Linked DNA regions of Stegostoma tigrinum. The protein of the gene in region 2 interacts with the protein of the main gene of each other region in a biochemical or structural test. Links are inferred from orthologs where the notes say so. Each region holds a gene or a part of one and is shown on either strand. Other genes may lie near its edges.

The links.
Region 1: the proteins of top1a (region 2) and homeobox protein Nkx-3.1 form a complex in vitro, tested with the Homo sapiens proteins (2 studies listed by BioGRID and IntAct). The link is inferred for Stegostoma tigrinum from reciprocal best matches to the Homo sapiens genes TOP1 and NKX3-1.
Region 3: of the proteins of top1a (region 2) and E3 ubiquitin-protein ligase Topors-like, one has a biochemical effect on the other in vitro, tested with the Homo sapiens proteins (2 studies listed by BioGRID). The link is inferred for Stegostoma tigrinum from reciprocal best matches to the Homo sapiens genes TOP1 and TOPORS.

What each region holds. Positions count from the first base shown.
Region 1 is NC_081393.1:5,424,668-5,432,179, reverse strand, and holds the start of homeobox protein Nkx-3.1, read right to left. Parts: upstream 3,067-7,512; 5' UTR 2,980-3,066; coding exon 2,790-2,979; intron 1-2,789.
Region 2 is NC_081372.1:14,189,961-14,197,604, reverse strand, and holds the start of top1a (DNA topoisomerase I, like), read left to right. Parts: upstream 1-4,644; 5' UTR 4,645-4,770; coding exon 4,771-4,794; intron 4,795-4,998; coding exon 4,999-5,023; intron 5,024-7,644. UniProt on the Homo sapiens protein: Releases the supercoiling and torsional tension of DNA introduced during the DNA replication and transcription by transiently cleaving and rejoining one strand of the DNA duplex.
Region 3 is NC_081356.1:30,233,752-30,240,950, reverse strand, and holds the start of E3 ubiquitin-protein ligase Topors-like, read left to right. Parts: upstream 1-4,127; 5' UTR 4,128-4,288; intron 4,289-7,199. UniProt on the Homo sapiens protein: Functions as an E3 ubiquitin-protein ligase and as an E3 SUMO1-protein ligase. Probable tumor suppressor involved in cell growth, cell proliferation and apoptosis that regulates p53/TP53 stability through ubiquitin-dependent degradation.

The DNA.
Region 1 (7,512 bases), on a different chromosome or scaffold from region 2:
ACTCACTCTCCCATTGACACACACCATCTCCACTCGCTCTCCCATTGACACATTCCGTCTCCACTCGCTCTCCCATTGACACTCACCATCTCCACGCTGTCCCATTGACACACACCATCTCCATCACTTGCTCTCCCATTGACACAGTCCATCTCCACACGTTCTCCCATTGACACTCACCATCTCCACGCTGTCCCATTGACACACACCATCTCCATCACTTGCTCTCCCATTGACACAGTCCATCTCCACATGCTCTCCCATTGACACACTCCATCTCCACTCACTCTCCCAATGACACACACCATCTCCACTCGCTCTCCAATTCATACACGCCATCTCCACACGCTCTCCCATTGACACATACCATCTCCACTCGCTCTCCCATTCATACACGCCATCTCCACACACTCTCCCATTGACACATGCCACCTCCACCTGTCGCTCTCCAGTTGACACACACCATCTCCACACGCTCTGCCATTGACACACGCCATCTCCACACGCTCTCCCATTGACACACACCATCTCCACTTGCTCTACCATTGACACACACTATCTCCGCTCGCTCTCCCATTGTCACACGCCATCTCCACCACTCACTCTCCCATTGACACACACCATCTCCATTTGCTCTACCATTGACACACACTATCTCCGCTCGCTCTCCCATTGTCACACGCCATCTCCACCACTCACTCTCCCATTGACAGAGGCCATCTCCAGTCGCTCTCCCATTGCCACATGCCATCTCCAACTCTCGCTCGCCCACTGGCACGTGCTAGCTCCTCACGTTCACCCACTGGCACATGCCAGCTCCTCACACTCACCCACTGGCATATGTCTGCTCCTCACGCTCGCCCACTGGCACATGCCAGCATCTCACTCCTTCACTTCCCCATCTATATCAGTTCTATATTATCCCTCGCAGCTCCAGTCCCCCCTCCTTGTGTCACTCCTGTCCCTTGATGATTCTCTCATTGGTCAGTCACATACATTGTGAACATTCTGGGTCCAGTCCCATCACAAGGTCCATGTGCTGCCATCCAAATTCCAGGTTCGTGTTCCACTGTTGGGTTGCAGTCAGTCAGAACTGTGTGGTGTGGGCTTGCAGCACTGCAGGCTTGGTGCTGATTCTTGGAGACCCGCAGGAATGCACTCGTCTAACAGCGAGAGAGGCTGGGTGTACTCTGAGAGGGGGACAATGATGGCCCCAGTTTGAGGGACCCCACAATGCTCCGGATCTGGAACTTCACCCTATCGCAGAACACGCTGCAAATCTCAGCATTTCTATGGCAATATTCCCAATGATTTCTCAACCCATTGAATAAATGGCCCAGAAGGAGAACCTTCTGCCAGTCTAGTCCATGATAGCTCTGGGCTGAGGAGTCAGCAAACATCAGTAGCAGGCTGGGCCTACCCTGTGCTTGGGGTCGTGGTCACAATCACCTGTTCCCCCCAGCAGCCTGCTCGACCAGTCAGTCAGATCTTCCCGGCTGCCCCTTGTACCACCAGAACCTCGGCATCTCTGTCTCCATCATCGGCAGAGCCTCCACCTGTGGAGCCTTTTCCCAGAGAGAGCTAAGCAGCCTCCTGGAGATGAGAACAAAACACTCTGTATCTCCTGGCTGTTCTGAATGGCTCAGCCCTTGTTTTCAGGCAGTGACTCCCTCGTCTGAGAGCAAACACACCATCCTCAGCCACAGGGTGGGGGTAACGGTTTGGGTTGGGATTATGGTTCGGGTGAGGCTCTCAGAATCTAAGATCTTTCCCTCAAAGCTACCTCTGTTCTCCCATGTTCCGTCTGACCTGGTCTGAGAGTCCTGGAGTCACACAGCTCGGAAACAAACATCTTATCCACATTGACCACGTTTCCCAAGCTAAAGTATTTCCCATTTCCCTGCATTTGGCACATCTCCCTCTGAACCCTTCCCATTCGTGCCCAAATGCCTTTTAAATGCTGTAACTGTACCAGCCTCGACCACTTCCTCTGGCAGCTCATTCCATACACGCACCACCCTCTGTGTGGAAAAATTGCCGCTCACATCCCTGTTAAATCCTTCCCCTCTTCACCAGAAAATCTGTGCAGTCGAGTTTTGGACTACCCCTCCAAGGGAAGAAGGCCTTAGATATTCACCCTAACCGTGACCCTCATGATTTTATAAACGTCTATAAGGTCACCCCCTCAGCCTCCAATCCTCCAGGGAAAATAGCCCCAGACTATCCAGCCCCTCCCTGTAGCTCAAACCCTCCAACCCTGGCAACATCCTTATCAGCCTTGCTGATTAAAAACCTGTTTCTCTCAGACATGATCATACTGAACAATACATCCCATGCAGCGCTCATGTGGTCAGTTTCACTTCACGACAGAGAGAAAGCAAAAAAAGGTTCCTGCTTTTTGTCGAGTGAGTGATCCGTTACTCTGAGATTGCATCCTCTTCCCCACCCTCCCGCCCGTCCCTCAGGCCCCAGTCCGTGCCTGACCCAGCCCATTGACTCAAAACCACAGCATTTTAACAGAGGGCCCGGGACAAATTTTGGAGGTGTGAAAGAAACAGAAGAAACCCCTGACACACAGACACAGAGGCTAGGTTCAGTCTCCCCACGGTAGGGACGTGATTGACTTAGAGCTGGGGTCCAATGTGAACTGAATTTGGATAGATATCCTGAATTCGCCTTGCACTGACTCGGTCCAGCGGCGATGGAGCGGTGTGACCTGAGGTCTGAGCCTGAGGGGGGTCCCTAGCCGCACCCCCCACCCCCCCCCCCCCACCCCCACCCCAACCTACCTGAGCTCCCCAGAGCCTGACCTGTGAATGCCAGCTCCAGGCCGCTGTGGGAGCGGGGCTCCGCGTTGGGCTGTCCTGCCTCCTCCCTGCTCCCACGGAATCCCCTGGGAAAGCTGCCTGGTGAAGTTTCCTGAAGCGACAAGATGTCCTGGATGAGAAACGACGTGAAAGCACGTCTCAATGAAGCCATGCTCTGTCTTTTGCGTGTGTGTGTCTGTCTGTGAGTGCGTGCCTCTGACAAATCCACGACCTCCACCAGTTTTGAGTTTTGGAAATCGAGGACAAATGGGAGGGTGGGAAGGACGGAGGGAGATGGAGCTTCTTATAGAAGGTGGCTGGGAGGCAGGCATCAGGTCGCCGTCCCAAGCCCTGCCCTGCACAGGAGGTGGGGTGGGGGGGGAACACTGTGCTGTTGTAGCTGACAACGCAGGCAGTCAGGAAGCTGGTGCCACAGGCTCTAGGGACTGGCATATATCCGCGCTGCCGTCCACACTGTGCCCCAGCTAAGGTCCCAGTTCTCTGAGCACCGAGCGCTGCTCTTTTGCAGCCTGTGTGTGTGTGTGTGTGTGTGTGTGTGTGTGTTTGCATGAGAGAGAGAAAAAGCTGGCCAACATGTCGTTCTGGAATGGCAGAGAGCGAATCTACGGCCAGCTCTCCCCACCCCGGGGCAATGCAGCTGGGAGAGGCGAACTGTCGCAACAAGGTTGGTGTGGGGTGTGGGGGGGGGGGGGGGGGGAGGCGGCGGCGACGCTTGAAGATACTGCAGGGATGAGGAGCTGGAGGAGGCCAGGGACATTCCGCTTCCCTGGGGAAAGAGAGGCAGGGCGAGCTGGTTAAGGGAATAGGACCGTCGCAGTCTCCATCCGCTTCCCCCTGCCATCATTTCCCCTGAGAATGGACAGGACGCGCCCCCCCCCCCCTTCCCCCGAGTTCTACACATCCCGTCCACCTCTCTCAGTCAGCTCAGCTGCTGGGAAACTTGTTCAGAGAAGGTCAGGAAAGAATGGGCCAGGCGCCTGCCAATGTACAGCTGGCGGGACAACAGCACACCCATCCCTTAGTCACTCAAACAAAAACCCCGCAACAAATGCATCAACTTTCCATTCTGCATTCGGCCCTTTTCCAGCCTCAGAAATCTTCCTTCTAGCCCCAAACCTCCTGAAACTGGGTTCCCATGGCATTCCAAATACAGGTTTTACAAGCTTCATAAACATACGGTTCAATGCAGTGCACTCCCTCCCGGGGTATCTTCTTCTCTGTACAAACCACCCCGAACCCCTCGATTAGATTACAATCTCTATCTCAATCCCAGGTCTCTGTGATTTTACCTATAAATCATCTGAGCACCTTGATTAGATTCGCTCCTAGGTATCTGTGATTCTATGCATAGGCACTGATATCAATTGTTTAAGTAAGGTGCAACAAAGGGGAAACAGTGTCCAAAATATATTTGAATTTCCAAACAAAAAAGGTCATTGAATAAGCTTCCACGCGTAAGGATACTTTGTAAGAGAAGATCCAGTGGTGACGGGTGTTTCGTGAGCACGGACTGAAGATAGTCTTCTAGTAGTTGGACAAAATGGAAGGATTAGGGATAAAGTTCAGGTATTGAGAGGACATTGAGTGGCAGAGCAACTTTGTAGATGGAATGTGATGTGGGAAATTATGGGTTAATGCACTTTGACAGGAAGAATACGAGAATAATGATCATTTAAACAGGCAAGAACTACGGAAAGCTGCAGCATAACGGGGTTTGGACGACTCAGAGAAGGTAGCGTGCAAGTTCAATAGATCATAAAGAGGAAAGATGGAAGGAAGAATGAAAGGAAAGATGGAAGGAAGAATGAAAGGAAAGAGGTCTTGATAAAACATTGAAATAGAGAGAGGCCGCGCAGAGACGGGCAATACATGAAGAATAGACACAGAGGGACCAAGATAAATAGACACAGGGGGACGGTAAGGGACAGCTTGACTAGCAGCTGAAGTTGGAGTGACAAATACAAGAGGAATATTGTCTGAAGAAGATTAAAACCAAGAGCTCAGAATCAGCCTGATAAACAAGGAAAGACTTTGACTCAAATGAGCGGTATGACAGGTCGGCACAACATCGAGGGCCGAAGGGCCTGTGCTATTCTGTAATGTTCTATGTTCTATGAGCAGCAAAAGGAAATCGGGGAGAGAGAGAAGTCTGAGGGAATGGATGACATAGATGGAGAGAGAAAACCCAGAAATGTGGTTGGAGATAGAGCAAGCCAGGTAGAGACAGTGAGGGAGAGGGGAGACAGAGGGAAGTGTCAGAGTGAGGGAGAGGGGAGACAGAGGGAAGTGACAGAGTGAGGGAGAGGGGAGACAGAGGGAAGTGTCAGAGTGAGGGAGAGGGGAGACAGAGGGAAGTGACAGAGTGAGGGAGAGGGGAGACAGGGGGAAGTGACAGAGTGAGGGAGAGGGGAGACAGAGGGAAGTGTCAGAGTGAGGGAGAGGGGAGACAGGGGGAAGTGACAGAGTGAGGGAGAGGGGAGACAGGGGGAAGTGTCAGAGTGAGGGAGAGGGGAGACAGAGGGAAGTGTCAGAGTGAGGGAGAGGGGAGACAGAGGGAAGTGACAGAGTGAGGGAGAGGTGAGACAGAGGGAAGTGACAGAGTGAGGGAGAGAGGAGACAGAGGGAAGTGTCAGAGTGAGGGAGAGGGGAGACAGGGGGAAGTGACAGAGTGAGGGAGAGGGGAGACAGGGGGAAGTGACAGAGTGAGGGAGAGGGGAGACAGAGGGAAGTGTCAGAGTGAGGGAGAGGGGAGACAGAGGGAAGTGACAGAGTGAGGGAGAGGGGAGACAGGGGGAAGTGACAGAGTGAGGGAGAGGGGAGACAGGGAAGTGACAGAGTGAGGGAGAGGGGAGACAGGGGGAAGTGACAGAGTGAGGGAGAGGGGAGACAGAGGGAAGTGACAGAGTGAGGGAGAGGGGAGACAGAGGGAAGTGTCAGAGTGAGGGAGAGGGGAGACAGAGGGAAGTGACAGAGTGAGGGAGAGGGGAGACAGAGGGAAGTGTCAGAGTGAGGGAGAGGGGAGACAGAGGGAAGTGACAGAGTGAGGGAGAGGGGAGACAGGGGGAAGTGACAGAGTGAGGGAGAGTGGAGACAGAGGGAAGTGTCAGAGTGAGGGAGAGGGGAGACAGAGGGAAGTGTCAGAGTGAGGGAGAGGGGAGACAGGGGGAAGTGACAGAGTGAGGGAGAGGGGAGACAGGGGGAAGTGACAGAGTGAGGGAGAGGGGAGACAGAGGGAAGTGTCAGAGTGAGGGAGAGGGGAGACAGAGGGAAGTGACAGAGTGAGGGAGAGGGGAGACAGGGGGAAGTGACAGAGTGAGGGAGAGGGGAGACAGAGGGAAGTGACAGAGTGAGGGAGAGGTGAGACAGGGGGAAGTGACAGAGTGAGGGAGAGGGGAGACAGAGGGAAGTGTCAGAGTGAGGGAGAGGGGAGACAGAGGGAAGTGACAGAATGAGGGAGAGGGGAGACAGAGGGAAGTGACAGAGTGAGGGAGAGGGGAGACAGAGGGAAGTGTCAGAGTGAGGGAGAGGGGAGACAGAGGGAAGTGACAGAGTGAGGGAGAGGGGAGACAGAGGGAAGTGACAGAGTGAGGGAGAGGGGAGACAGGGGGAAGTGTCAGAGTGAGGGAGAGGGGAGACAGAGGGAAGTGACAGAGTGAGGGAGAGGGGAGGCAGAGGGAAGTGACAGAGTGAGGGAGAGGGGAGACAGAGGGAAGTGACAGAGTGAGGGAGAGGGGAGACAGGGGGAAGTGTCAGAGTGAGGGAGAGGGGAGACAGAGGGAAGTGACAGAGTGAGGGAGAGGTGAGACAGAGGGAAGTGACAGAGTGAGGGAGAGGGGAGACAGACGGAAGTGACAGAGTGAGGGAGAGGGGTGACAGAGGGAAGTGTCAGAGTGAGGGAGAGGGGAGACAGAGGGAAGTGACAGAGTGAGGGAGAGGGGAGACAGGGAAGTGTCAGAGTGAGGGAGAGGGGAGACAGAGGGAAGTGACAGAGTGAGGGAGAGGGGACTCAGAGGGAAGTGTCAGAGTGAGGGAGAGGGGAGACAGAGGGAAGTGACAGAGTGAGGGAGAGGGGAGACGGGGGAAGTGACAGAGTGAGGGAGAGGGGAGACAGAGGGAAGTGTCAGAGTGAGGGAGAGGGGAGACAGGGGGAAGTGACAGAGTGAGGGAGAGGGGAGACAGGGGGAAGTGACAGAGTGAGGGAGAGGGGAGACAGGGGGAAGTGACAGAGTGAGGGAGAGGGGAGACAGAGGGAAGTGTCAGAGTGAGGGAGAGGGGAGACAGAGGGAAGTGACAGAGTGAGGGAGAGGGGAGACAGGGGGAAGTGACAGAGTGAGGGAGAGGGGAGACAGAGGGAAGTGACAGAGTGAGGGAGAGGTGAGACAGGGGGAAGTGACAGAGTGAGGGAGAGGGGAGACAGAGGGAAGTGTCAGAGTGAGGGAGAGGGGAGACAGAGGGAAGTGACAGAGTGAGGGAGAGGGGAGACAGAGGGAAGTGTCAGAGTGAGGGAGAGGGGAGACAGAGGGAAGTGACAGAGTGAGGGAGAGGGGAGACAGAGGGAAGTGACAGAGTGAGGGAGAGGGGAGACAGGGGGAAGTGTCAGAGTGAGGGAGAGGGGAGACAGAGGGAAGTGACAGAGTGAGGGAGAGGGGAGGCAGAGGGAAGTGACAGAGTGAGGGAGAGGGGA
Region 2 (7,644 bases):
CTCTGGACTAGGTTGGGACTTGAACCTAATTTTCCTAGCTCAGACATCAGAACATTACCACTATGCCACAAGGGCTATCTGAGTGGCAGACAACAAGCCACTATTTAATCTTAATAAGAAATTCGTCTTACAAGTCAAGGTGTAGTTTATTGCATGAGAGCAATAGGTTCCAAGTTATATTACGCTGTTAGGCATAATTACAAAAAGTATCAGGAGCCAGAGTTGACACACCTATCTCCATCGGGACCTCATTTCAGGCTTTTTGTCTCCACCTAAAGACTGCTTGACATCATTGGATTGGATGCTGCTTGCTGCAGCTTTAACATTAACTGCTTCAGAATCATCTTACATAACTGGATGTATTGGACAATATTCCACATTGCTGACTAAGTGCTGATGTTGTAGTTGTATTGGAACAGCTTGGTTAGGATTGTAACTAGTTTTGGGGCACAGGTCTTCAGCTCTAAAGGCAGGATTTTTTAAAAAATTCACAACCTTGCTGTGTCCAGTCTGTTCAGCTATTTCTTGATACCATGTGACATGATACAAATTGGCTGAAGGTTGACTTTTATGATCTTGGAAACCTCAAAAGGAATCCAACATAGTCAACCCATTAGCTCTTCTCACTGAAAATGGTTGCAAAATCCTCAGCCTTCTCTTTGAATCTGTGCTCCCCAATTATTAAGGACAGAGATATTTATGGAGACTTCTTCTCCAAGTAGTTGTTTAATTTCCTACCACCAATCTTAATTCGATTTGGCAGAATTGAAATGTTTTGATTTGGCCCATTGATTGGGGAATCATTTAGCCCAACCAATAGCATGTTGCTTTTGCTATTTTGATGCACGTTGCCCAATGCAGTACGTTTACAAGGTTCTATTTCCCAAGAACCTTACACAGGATTATATATGAACAGTAGCACAGAAAGAAGTGTCATGAGGCCTGAATTGAGTAAAAGAACTCATCGGCCAATAGCCAAGAATGTGCACACCCTGGAAAGTCCACCTTCATCGGATTTGGAACAGTTAAATTGCTTAGCAACATCCAAATCAGAACCAATCAAAATAAACGTCTGGTTAAGAAGTCAACCGGTTTTAATGGAGGTTCATATCGGTGCAGCTGTATCAGTGATTGCAGAACTAGTCTTTGACAAAATTTGCTCTGGACCCTTAAATTTGCATAAGATCTCGACTGGACTGAGAACCTACACCAGGGAATCTTTACATATTAAGGTACAATTTCAGTTCCAGTCCCATATGGGAAGCAACTAGCTCAGTTAACAATGATTATAGTAAAAGGCTCAGTCCGAAGCCTGATGGGGAGAAATTGGTTGAGGAAGATTCACCTTGGTTGGCTCAACATTTTTGGATTGGAAAATGGCTGCCTGATTGAAGCCCTAATTAAATACTTGGAAGTTTTTCAGGGACGTCCAGAGACTATCAAAGGAGTCAAGGCCACCTTATATTTTGACCAGGAAACAATTCCATGATTCTGCAGGCACACCCAATGCTAATTGTCTTACGGGCAAAAGTAGAGGCAGAAATCATGAGGCTGGAAAGTGAAGGAATCATCAAACCAGTACAGTTTGCAGAATGGGCAGCACCGGTAGTACCGATTATGAAGCCCAATGGATCAGTGCACCTTGTGGAGATTTTAAACAAACAGTAAACTGCTTCTTGCACTGAATTAATACCCAATCCGTCACATAGAGGACTTATATTCCAAACTGGCTGGAAGCTGTCCTTAACAAAGCTGGGCAAGAACTGTGCAAACTTACAATTGCGGTTAGATGAGAATTCCCAGACATATGCTACAATTAATACCCATAAGGGTTTGTACTGATATACAAGATTTGGCGTACCTTCAGCCTGCACTATTTTTCAGTAGAGAATGGAGAACATTTTACAAAGTCTACTCCAAGTCGCCAATTATCTGGATGATGTGCTAATAACTGGGAAGACCAATAAAGAGTACTTAAAAAGAATTTGGACATATTGCTACAAATTTCTCCCAGGTGCCCAAATGCCTTAGAAGGAAAAAATTTGTATTCTAGACACTCTAAGTGACCTATTTGGGCTACTGACAAAACCGGGTTACACCCTTGGTAGATACTACGAGGGTAATCAAAGGCGGTCCGGCTTGCACATCTGTACTGGAGCTTAGGTCCTTGCTTAGATCCATAAATTATTACATAGTTGGATGTTATGTTGAGGTTGTACAGAATGTTGGTGAGGCTTCTTCTTGAGTATTGTATCCAGTTCTGGTCACCCTGTTACAGGAAGGATATTATTAAATAGGGGGGGGTTAAGAAGAGATTTACCAGAATGTTACCGGGAATGGAAAGTTTGAGTTATGAGGGGAAGTTGGATAAGCTGGGGCTTTTTTCACTGGGATTTATGAGGTTGAAGTGCAACCTTATTGAGGTTCATAAAATTATGAGGGGTATAGATAAGTCGAATGGCAGGTGTCTTTTCACTAGGACGTGGGATCTCAAGACCAGGGGCCATAATTTTAAATTGAGGGAAGAAAAACTTAAAAAAAGACATGGGGGCATTTTTTTTTTACAGGAAGTACTTCATATGTCCAATGGGCTTCCAGAGGAAGTGGTGGACGCGAGTACAGTTACAAGGTTTAAAACACATTTTGGTAAGTATGTAATTAGGAAATGTTTGGAGGAATATGGGACAAGTGCAAGGAGGTGGAACTAGTTTAGTTTGGGATCATGGTTGGCATAGACTGGTCAGATTGAAGGATCTGTTTCCGTGTTGTATGACCCTATGACTATATAAGTACTTCCTAAAGTTGAATGGCATTCGGCATATAAGAGTAGCTCCATGCCAGCCATCATCCAATAGTCTGGCAGAAAGAGCAGTCTAAACTCTAATGGAAGACTTCAAGGAACAGCTTACATCTTCACTCGATACCAAAATGTTCTGGTTCCTACTTGATTATCAGACCACGTCCCTCATGCAACTACAGGGATAGGTCCAGCAGAGTTGCTAACAGGGAGGAAACTCCACACCGGGTTAAACCTGATATTCCAAGACTTGGGGCATGGCAGGGGTGGGGGAGAAATGGCTGGACACAAGACTCCCCTCGGTAAGAGACAGCTTACTTCAGGGGATAAAGTTCGATGTAAGATTCACAGAAATGACCCTGCATGGGTAAGAGGCATGGCCAATGCAAGGTCTGGTCCCGTGACACACAAAGTTCAAGTAGGTGAGGTGGTCCTGAACAAGCATGTGGTCATCAATAAAGCTACAAACGCACAAATAGGTCAGCAAAAAATAACCAGCACCTCAGAGTAGCCAGAAAGGCTGTCTGGACCTGTGGGCTCTCCGTCTAAATCTAGCCTTGAAGAAGTCTTGGAGTCTGAGACGGACATGGTGGACGTTGCAGCCTCGATGCCTTTACCACCTGACACCCTGGGTGCAATAGGCGAGCTATGACCTGGAGCACACTGCCCGTATCTGATGCTGAGTCAGAGGAACTGGACTCTGTAGGAAAACACCCCAGTGCAGGGTACAAGAAAAAGAGCCTGCCTCCTTTCCCGGATTTAGATTTGATGTAGGAGTTGGATGTTATATTGAAATTAGGTCAGCCAGGCGGACTTCCTAGAATATGAGTTCCCTATCTGGTGCTTTTAATCTGCTCCAGTCAGGGAGCCCTGGCTGACAGCTACAAACAGGAGCATCAGAGGTTCTGTTCACTCTGACAGCTGGTTCTGTGGAATCCGGACCAGTTTGAAATACCATGCATGTGTAAATAAAGAGCAACTTGGTGATGAGATACCGGCCTCTGTGGAGTTAATTCAGTCTGTTTGGCTGTCTAGGGCTGAAGGTCTAGAATTCTCTGGCAAATGGTGTCTGTCTCTTCCTCTCCTCTTGCAAGACATTCCTTAAAACCTTGGGATGTGGCTAAACTTTTGATCAGCTGTCCACATTAAGTGGGCATAGCGTCAAACTTGGTTTGCAAACATCGTTGTATAAGGCTCTGGAATGCTTTCCAAAGGTGCCACAGAAACTCAAGTCGCTGTTGTTTGGCTTGTGTCCATTCCTTCTGCATGATAACACCCCTGCAAAGTGCCTTTGGACTATTTACTAATTCAAAGGTGCCACATGAAATAAGTTGTTGCAAAAGCTTGGAGTAACTTAACCTGCTGCTCTGATCGTGAAGCCCTGACATCAGAAGAAACCACTGTGACATCATTTGGCTTGATGAGAGTTGTTGCTGTGCTAACTTTTCTATAGTTGATGGTCCACTGAGTTTTTGAAAGGGGTGGGGGGAAGGTGTGTCCTTTGGGTGAAGTCTGGGGTTGGATGTGGAACAGGAAGGGTGTGTGCGTATGTCTGTTCAGCTTCTGTTGAGAGGAATTGCCTTAACTTTCCAACAACTACAAAGCAAGAGTAAAGTTTATCCCCTCTCTTCCTGGGAGGAAGGAGTCTGATGCCCCCAGGGAGGGTGCTCAGGGGGCTGGTTGGATGGGTTGGGGAGAGTTTGGGCAAAGAGGGAGGCGTGTCTGTGCTATTTAAATCAGCTCTTTGGTGCAGCTGAAGCCACCAATTGTGAGGGCAAGGCAATTGAAATGTAAATTCGCCTCTAAGTTAAATCCAAGTGCATGCGCAGTACGTCGAAACTGGGACTTAGACGTTGTACAGGGGGTTGGAGCAGTTCAATCTGAGCAGGTCTTTGGTGTGTATAGAACTCAACTCCTCACTAACTCCACAAAAAAACCCTATAGAATAATCAGAAAAGAAACATCCTCCAACAATGAGCGTTGATCACCTCTCCCAGGTAGGTGGAACGACCTTCCAGACCGTGCGTTTTATAAAACCCCGTGTCTTTTATTTCCCCCCCCCCAAAAAAACATATATTTGATGACTTGAAACTTGTGAAAAAAATTCATCTGTCTCTCACTTTGATGGTTCGTGGCCCTTTTGATTGTAAGGAAGCAAAGTACTAACGTGGATTTTTCCCCTTTTTTTCTTGTGTTCACAGCTCAATACGGATTCCCGCTTGAACGGTGAGTATTTGAGGTGAAAATTGCTTTTATTTAATTTGTTCGTTACCCCCTCATTACCCCCCCCCTCCCTCGACCACCACCTCCCTCGACCTTTCCCTCTCCTCCTGTTTTCTCTCTGAGGGAAGAACAAGAGGATCAGACATGGCGTCCAGAGACTAAGTCCCGTCTACGTGCCCACAAGCCCTATTGTTCAAATCAGCCTCCAAAATAACCGCCTTGCCGGCTCCCCAGCGAGCCCTTTCCCCCGCCGACCGCCTCCACTACACCCAGAGTCTGGCGTGAGGCTGCCCGAGGGCTGTTGGGGGTTTCGGCCGGGCCGGCATCGCGAGCGAAAAGCCGGCTTTTCGGCCGTTAGGACTTAGTCTCTGCGCCATTTTATTTTTTCTGACTGTGTGTGTGTCAGTTGCTTCGTGCATGTTGTTAAGAGCGAGGCTCCCTTCTCTTTTTTTTTAAATATATAAAACACACCGACAGCAATGTGCCGGGCATTTAAATAAGAAGGCAGGAGGAACGAGGAAGAAAGGTTTAGAATTCTGAGAGGTGGGGGGTCTAGAAGACACACAAAAGGGATGGCGGCAGAAATTGCAACTTGTTTTTTTCAATGCAGTTTGCATTTTATGCCTTTTTTATATGGGGGGGGGGTGATGGAGCAGCAATGCCTCTACTCACATGGTGGCAGCACCGTGAAGGTTATGATGTATTTTTATATATTTTTTAAAAGCAGTATTTTGTAAGATTCCCTTTTTTTAAGTTTGCATTGCATGGTTTTTTTCCCCCCTCTCTTGCCTGCCCCTAGGTTTTTTAAAAAAAGACTTTCTCGATTTGCGTTGAATTTTTTTATCTAGTTTGAGGTTTTCGATACTTCTGGAAGCTTTTTTTTACTAAGGAAAATAGGGGTTATCTGCTTAACCTTTTGAAAAAGAATCGGTGCTGGGATAATGATTGTCATGTCTTCAAATAAGAGATTGTAAGCATTGTCATGATTGTTCTGTGCAGTGGTGACATTGTTTCAGAAAATTTTCCATACCCTTTTAAGTTGTTTCCTTTCCCCAAAAAAAGCACTAGTCTTTCCCAAAGTCTACTCAGACTTACAGGGCATTGCTGGGTTGGTTCATGGGGAGAGGGTATTTTTAAATAGCTTTGTGATCAATTATATTCCATCTTGCAGCTCATCTACAGATATGCAATCGAGATCCTTTCTGTGTGAGGCTTAAAATTATTGTACTAATGTGTGATGATTTAAGATATTGATCCAGTTAAAAGTTTTCAGTTTTGAAAGATTGCAGTTCTAATGAGATCAAGGATGATGCAGGATGCAAAAAAATGGAAACATATATGTAATTTGAAGGATCTTAACATTTGTTGAAATACCCTTTTTCAATATACTATTCTTTGGCATTCAGAATGATTTACAAAGTCAGTTGGACTTTGCATTATCATTTTGAAGCATAAAAGGATCTATGAAATGTGCATTGAAGTATGACATCTTCCCTTTTAAGATTCAAATTGCCCAATAGCAACTGTGTTTTAATTTTTCAGCATGTTGAAGCCATTCTGTTAAATGACAAGCTGCTGTGCTAGCACACATGATTGAATGCTTGAAGAAGGAAGTGAGGTTTTGGGGAGGTGCAGTAATAGAGAATTGAGTTTAGTTGAAGAAACTGAGTATTTAAAATGAATGGACAGTGGAATGCTGTTGGATTTTTCCTTGGCAAGTTATACTGCTGTAGGATATTGATAAAGAATAAAACTAGAACTCTTTCAGAAAGAAACATTTAAAGTTTGATTCTGCTCATTGAGGTGCTGTGTCTTGGTGATGAATTGGATTTTACTCCAGATTTCATTTGAAGAACAAGGTGTGATTTGAGAAGCTGCTTGTCTGAATGCAAATATCACTGAATTTGAATGGCTGTTACATAGGGTACCGGTTAAGATTGTTTGCAATTTTTCTTTTGTCAAAGCAGTAACTCATAATATGGCTCCATATTTCTGATGCTTTTTGGTATTTTATACAACTATTCAGCCAGGTACGTTGAGCAAGGCATGTTCATTCCTTCCTTGAAGGCAAATTTGGGCACATTAGGGAGATCAGAAGCAGGAACTCTGAACTCTCTTCCAAGCTGAGCACCTGCTGTGGGATGAATTTTGTCTGTTCTGTATCCATTCTGTCTTTACCATAACTAATGTGGTAGACTAATATTTCTGGCTTTCAGCTGAAATTCCTCTCATGTTTTCTTCACTGACCAGTGATCTGCAGTGACAAAATCATTGCAAAAGCTGAGGCCATGTGGTTCCTTTATCTGGTAACCTTCCAATCATTCTTCTGCATTCTTGATTTCTTTTTTCCTAGAGCCCACGTCACTGGTAGTATTCATGGTCAACAGGTGGAAAGCACAGAATTCTGCATAGTCTATTGCAACTAACTTTTCTCGGACTTGAAAGCCCTTAAAGTACAACTCTCCTTCCTTTGAGTTACAGTCTCATGTTAAGTTGTGATTTCATGGGTATTGGGGATTTACACTCCAGTGGCCACTCTTTGTAAATGAGCCTGGATTCATGGGTAGTGCACAGCAAAAACTGATCTGACTAGAATATCATCCCAATTGGAATCACTAGATAAT
Region 3 (7,199 bases), on a different chromosome or scaffold from region 2:
GGCAGGAACAATAGGAGAACTGAAAATTACTTAAATGGAGAAAGACTAGAGAAAACGACAACTCAGAGGGATTTGGGAGACCTCACAAAAGACTCAAAAAGCTACCATATAAGTTCAGCAGGTACTAGGGAAGGCACATGGAATGTTGGCCTTCATTTCAAAGGGAGTGAAGTATAAAAACCATGAAGTCTTGCTAAAACTATGCAAGGCACTAGTCAGACCACAGCTGGAATATTGTGAACTGTTTTGAGACCCTTATCTACAGAAAATACACTTGCATAAGAGGCAGTCCAGAGAAGGTTCACCAAACTGATACCAGTGATGGAGGGAAGACTTGTGAGGACAGGTTGAGGAGGTTGGGCCTGTGTTCATTGGAGTTTGGAAGAATAAGAGGTCACCTTTAGAAAAGATACGAGTCTCTTTGGAGATTTAACAGGATAGATGTGGAAAGGTTGCTTCCCCTTGCGCGAGTGTCTCGAACCACAAGATAATCTCAGAATAGGGGATCACTTTTTACAAAGATGATGAGGAATTCTGGCTTTCAGAGGGCAGTTAACTTGTGGAACTATTTACTGCAGAGACTGGGTTTTTATGTAAGTTCAAAGCTGAGACAGATAGATTTTTAATCAATAAGGGAATCAAGGGTTATGGGGAAAAGGCATGAGGGTGGAGTTGAAGATTATTGGATTAACCATAATCTCACTGAATGGCAATAGCAGGCTCTTTGGGCTGAAATGCCCACCTCTGCTCCTACTCTTACGCTCACTACAAATCAAAATGATCAAAATCCAAGAGTTAGACAGAGGGCAAAACAATGGCAAATTGAATTTTAATACAAGGTTTTGCAGAGGAATACACATCTATGGATGCAAAAAATGTGCTTCCTGTTTCAATTAACCGATTTGCGATGCAAAGTAATGCCAACAGCATGGCTGCAATTCCTGCACCATCTGAGGTTAGGATGAAACATAGAAACATAGAAGATAGGAACAGGAGGAGGCCATTTGACCCTTCAAGCCTGCTCTACCATTCTTCACAATCATAGTTGATCATCCAACTCGATAGCCTAATCCTGCTTTCTCCCCAAAACCTTTGATCCTGTTCACCCCAAGGGCGACATCTAGTTGCCTCTTGAATACATTCAATGTTTGACATCAACTGCTTCCTGTGGTAATGAATTCCTCAGGTTCGCCACTTGTTGAGTAGAGAAATATCTTTTCATCTCTGTCCTAAGAAGTCTACTGCAAGTCCTTTTACTGTGACCCCTGGTTCTGGGCACACCCACCATCGGGAACATCCTCCCTGCATCTACCCTCTTCAGTCGTTTCAGAACTTTATAGTCTCTATGAGATCCCCCTCATTCATCCGAACTCCAGCAAAAACAATCCCAACCTAGTGAAAACTCACTCCAACCCTTCTTAAGAAAGGTCCAGACCCGGAACGTCAGCTTTCCTGCTCCTCTGATGCTGCCTTACCTGCTGTGTTCATCAGCTCTACATTTTGTTATCCCAACCTAGTCAATCTCTCCACATACGTCAGACCCGCCATCCCTGGAATCAGCCTGATAAACCTATGCTGCACTCCTTCGAAAGTAAGAGCATCCTTCCTCAGAAAAGTAGACAAAACTGAACACAATATTCTCATCAAGGCCCTGTATAACTGTACCACGCATCGCTGCTCCTGTACTCAATGGTCCCTCCACAAAACATAGAACATAACAGTGCAGTACAGGGCCTTCGGCCCTCAATGTTGCACCGACCTGTGAAACCAATCTGAAACCCACCTAACCTACACTATTCCATTATCATCCATATGTTTATCCAATGACCATTTAAATACCCTTAAAAGTTGGCGAGTCTACTACTGTTGCAAGCAGGGCATTCCACATCCTTACTACTCTCTGAGTAAAGAACCTACCTCTGACATCTGTCCTATTTCTATCACCCCTCAATTAAAAGCTACGTCCCCTCGTGCTAGCCATCACCATCCGAGGAAAAAGGCTCTCACTGTCCACCCCATCTAATCCTCTGATCATCTGGTATGCCTCTATTAAGTCGCCTCTTAATCTTCTTCTCTCTAACGAAAACAGACTCAAGTCCCTCAACCTTTCCTCATAAGACCTTCTCTCCATACCAGGTAAAAGCCTGGTAAATCTCCTCTGCACCTTTTCCAAAGTTTCCACATCCTTCCTATAATGCGGCAACCAGAACTGTACGCAATATTCCAAATGTGGCTGCACCAGAGTTTTGTACAGCTCATGAAACTCAATCCCTCTGCCAATAACACATAACACACCATATGCCTTCTTAACAACCCTATCAACCTGGGTGGCAACCTTCGGGGATCTATGCACATGGACGCCGAGGTCTCTCTGCTCATCCCCATACCAAGAATCTTACCATTAGCCCACTACTCTGTATTCCTGTTACTCCTTCCAAAGTGAATCACCTCACACTTCTCCGCATTAAACTCCATTTGCCACCTCTCAGCCCAGCCCTGCAGCTTATCTATGTCCCTCTGTAACCTGCAACATCCTTCCACACTATCCACAACTCCAGTGACTTTAGTGTCATCCACAAATTTACTAACCCATCCTCTATGCCCTCATCCAGGTCATTTATAAAAATGACAAAAAGCAGTGGCCCCAAAACAGATCCTTGCAGTACACCACTAGTGACTGAACTCCAGGATGACATTTCCCATCAACCATCCCGCTGTCTTCCTACAGCTAGCCAATTTCTGATCCAAACCGCTAAATCATCCTCAATTCCATGCTTCTGTAATTTCTGCAATAGCCCACCATGGGGAACCTTATCAAATGCTTTACTGAAATCCATAAACACCACATCAAACGCTTTACCCTCATCCACCTGTTTCGTCACCTTCTCAAAGAACTCAATAAGATTTGTGAGGCACGACCTACCCTTCACAAAACCATGTTGACTATCCCTAATCAAATTATTCCTTTCTAGACGAATATAAATCCTATCTCTTATAATCCTTTCCAACACTTTACCCACAACCAAAGTAAGGCTCACTGGTCGAAAATCACCAGGATTGTCTCTACTCCCCTTCTTGAACAATGGGACATTTGCTATCTTCCAGTCTTCTGGCACTATTCCTGTAGACAATGACGAGTTAAAGATCAAAGCCAAAAAGGCTCTGCAATCTCCTCCCCAGCTTCCCAGAGAATCCTAGGATAAGTCTCTCTCCTCACCAGCTGTGTAGTGACTCTCGGCTGAAGCTACCAGCGGCCGTCTCTCTCTCTCTCTCTAATGAGAAATTAATGAAAAAATGAAAAATCCCGCAGGACTATGGTGACTTTACTCACTTTAACCCAATGCCCCTGTTCACTCAGCGAAGGTGCCAGCTCTCTAGAATTGCCCCTGGTGCATTCAGCAATCAGAGGCTCATCTCCAGGGCTCTGATGTGGCCAGAACCCCCTCCCTGCTGTCCAGAGATGATACTCACAACGGAATAAATCCAGTCCAGCGTTCGCTTACTCACACGGATCATGGTCCTTGGCTATGGCAACCCGACAAAGCCGATCACTGGAGGCTGCACTCACAAATATCAAAATAAAAGGCCAAGGAGATTTAAAAAGCAAACCAAAGCAAAGCACTCCGGGAAAGACTCGGATCGAACCCGATACGTTAACCCTGCTATTCTCTCTCTCTCTCCACAGATGATGGGTTTCTTCTCCACCTTTTTTTATAATTTGTGATCTAAAATAGCACCACACCGCCTTCTACCACTTTTTGGGTTGGTGCAGTAAATCCCCGTGGCTGAGATATCCTGATTCAGCGAAACCAAAATTCTTCGGCATCGCTGCGTCGGGCAGAAACGACTTCACACCGCTCTCTCAGCCGGTCCTCCGAGGGTCGCGGAGTGGGTCCTCCACTTTCCCGGCGGCCAAAGCGTGACGGTGGGTGGTGCATGTGAAGGCGGAGGCCAGTTGTGGGTCTTCTGACGTCTCGGGCCGGGTAGTCCTCCAGCGTCCCGGCGGCCAGTGCGACGCCGTCACTTACTGCGCTTGTGTGATGGTGTCACCTCCTCACAGGCAGTGGCTTGTCCCCAGACTGAGCCTAAGGGGTAGGGAGTGGGGTGGGTGGGGGCTTTAAGTGGGAATAATCCGAGCAAATGTTCACGGTCGGATCCAGGAGGAAGAGGAGAAGAAGGGGGGCGCGGGATGCTATAGCATTTAAGGAAAAGGAAAAGAGTTGCAGTTACAATACTGTATAATTCGAGTGAAGTGTGTGGAGGATCGGGCAGTGAGCGGCTGCAGCAGGTAAGAGAGATCCTGGGAGGGGTAAACTGCCTGGGTACTGGGGCCAGGCGTAGGCATTCTGGTCTGTCACCTCAGTGAGCACCCCGTGGAACAATTTGTGGAGCTACGAGATGTCAAGGCAGCTAAAATAAAACAATTCGAGGCCAGAGACTTTTAAACCAGAACCTGAGTCAGTGGCATCAATTCTGAGGGAAGGTCGCTGGACTCAAAACATTAACCCTGATTTCTCTGCACGGATGCTGCCAGACCTGCTGAGTTTTTCCAGCAGTTTCTCTTATTGTTTTGGTGGTATTCTTGGTATTCCTTCCGTGGAGGGAGGTTCCAGCTCAATCATGAAATTAAAGAGCCAGACAATTCAGGAAGCAACTCTTCACACAAAAGGTGGTAGAAGTGTGGAATCCTCTCCTTCAAAGCACAATCCTTACATAAGTCTGTGAGCATTATAGATTTTTGCTGGAAGAGTTAGGGGTTTGAGGTGTGGCTGATTGGGGTTCTGCCATCATCTTACTGATGAGGGAAAATATCAGAAGTCACATGATAGCATGTTATAGTCCAACAGATTTATTTGAAATCACGAGCTTTTGAAGTGCTTTCGTAGTCACCTGATGAAGGAGTAGCATGTCAAAAAGATAACTTGGTGTGAAGCTGGATGAATACAGCAGGCCAAGCAGCATCAGAGGAGCAGGAAAGTTTGACGTTTCGGGTCAGGACCCTTCTTCTCTGTAACACTTCAAAAGCTTGTGATTTCAAATAAGCCTGTTGGACAGTAACCTGGTGTCATGTAATGTCTGATTTTGTCCACCCCAGTCCAACACCAGTACCTTCGCATGATGACAGATAAACCAGCCTCAGAGGGCAAAGTATTCTGCCCATTCCTGTATTAGAACGTCTACAAAAGTGTCAGTTACTTTACACCAGCTTTTCTCTCTGTTTAAGCAGAAATCCACTTTTTAGCCATGTAAAGATAACCAGATGTTTGCAATAAAAGATTAGAAATGGCCTGATGTAACCACTGAACAAACCGTTCTTTTGGTTCTGAAATCTGCTTTTGACAGCATGAAAAACTTGTATGAAATACATCTGGGCAAAGTTCTGGGATAGTGAACTCTCATTCTCTAATTTGGCATTTCACTGAGATGTTACAAGGATCGCTGGTGCATGTAAAGGTGGTACCACCTTGTCGTAATTTGAGGTTCCATTTGAGACAGAATAAAGTGAACTACAATCTCTGATCAGAGATAATGGGAACTGCACATGCTGGAGAGCCCAAGATAACAGTGTGAAGCTGGATGAACACAGAAGGCCGAGCAGCGTCTCAGGAGCACAAAAGCTGATGTCTCGGGCCTAGACCCTTCATCAGATGAAGGGTCTAGGCCCGAAACGTCAGCTTTTGTGCTCCTGCGATGCTGCTTGGTCTGCTGTGTTCATCCAGCTTCACACTTTGTTATCTCGAACTATGGTCTCTTTTTATTTCATTCATGGGACGTAGGCATCACTGGCTATGGCTCAGGTTCTGGTTTTAAAAGTCTCTGTCCTCGAATTGTTTTATTTTTGCTGCCTTGTCACCTTGTAGCTCTACAAATTGTAGGCATCACTGGCTGGCCAGTGTTTATTGCTGATTCCTGGAGTGACTTGCTAGGCCATCTCAAAGTGGCATTTCAGGGTCAGTCACATTTCTGTGGATCTGGAGTCACATGTAGGCAGACATTGAATTCAGATTCCACCATCTGCTGTAGCAGATATGAACCTGGATCCCCAAAACATTAATTGAGTTTCTGGATTAATAGTCTAGCAATAATACCCCGAGACCATTAGGATTCTGCATGCAACACCTGTGCCTGTCAATGAGAGCTTCTAAAGCATGAGAAAATACTAACAGACATCAGCATCCACGCATTTGTTTCAAAAATATATTCATTCATAAATTATCTTTAAATAAGCACAACAAGAATTTTGACATGCACCAGAATTTCAATCCAGTTGCAACAAAAAGGTATTTTATAATCGTGAGAGGAAACTATTTACATTTTCATTAAGGTTACAAGGCTATCTTGAAACGTAACATATCTCCCCTCATTATATTTTGGCAGAAGGACTGCCAAGTAAGACTGTAGTCTGTGCCTTGGCAGCAGCTGCCCCAAGCTGTTGTGCATTCCTCAGAATGGAGCCTGGACCTTCGCATGTTCCAGTCTGCAGCGCTCAGTCGAGGTAAACTGTTTGCACTGGAAGACCAACAAGTTTCAGGCAGACTAAAGAGTGTCTGTCATTGAGTCCATGGCCCTCCAAGTGCAGTCACTGTTTGTTTTGGTGTGTGACTTAGAGACTAGCCTATAGATCACAGAGGCCTGTGTCACAGAGCTGCCCAGGATGAAACTTGACAAAAACCACTGCATCTCTCTCCTGACCTTAATTGCAAAGGCACATTCCAGAAAGAGATGTGTGATAGCCACCACAGCAGCATGCGGTTGTGGCCGGAGACTGGCTATGCATGAAGGATCTGACAGCTGATACCCTTTTCATTGCTAGCCAGGCTAGGTCTTGGTGCTTGTTGGAAAGTTCTGGTGACAAGATGACTTCAGTCTTCCATATACAAATGGAGTGAGTGCTGATCCCTTTTATTGATATTGTGACTGCACTGTATATCAGTGGATCTCTGTTTCTGTTTTGGCCAGTTCTTTCCTGCACTATAGCAGGACGAGATACTTTTGTGCATCAAGATTTTGTTTTCAAGAAGGATTATGTCGGTACACCCATTGATTGAATTAGAATCCTGAAAAAAATGGAGAGACAGATGTCCTTGCTTTTTAAATGCAGGCACTGTGTTCAGAAGGGAAATGTTACCCATCAAAAGATAATTTCACATTAAGTAAATGTTTTTCAAGTCTTTCACTGATAACACTACCAACCAGAA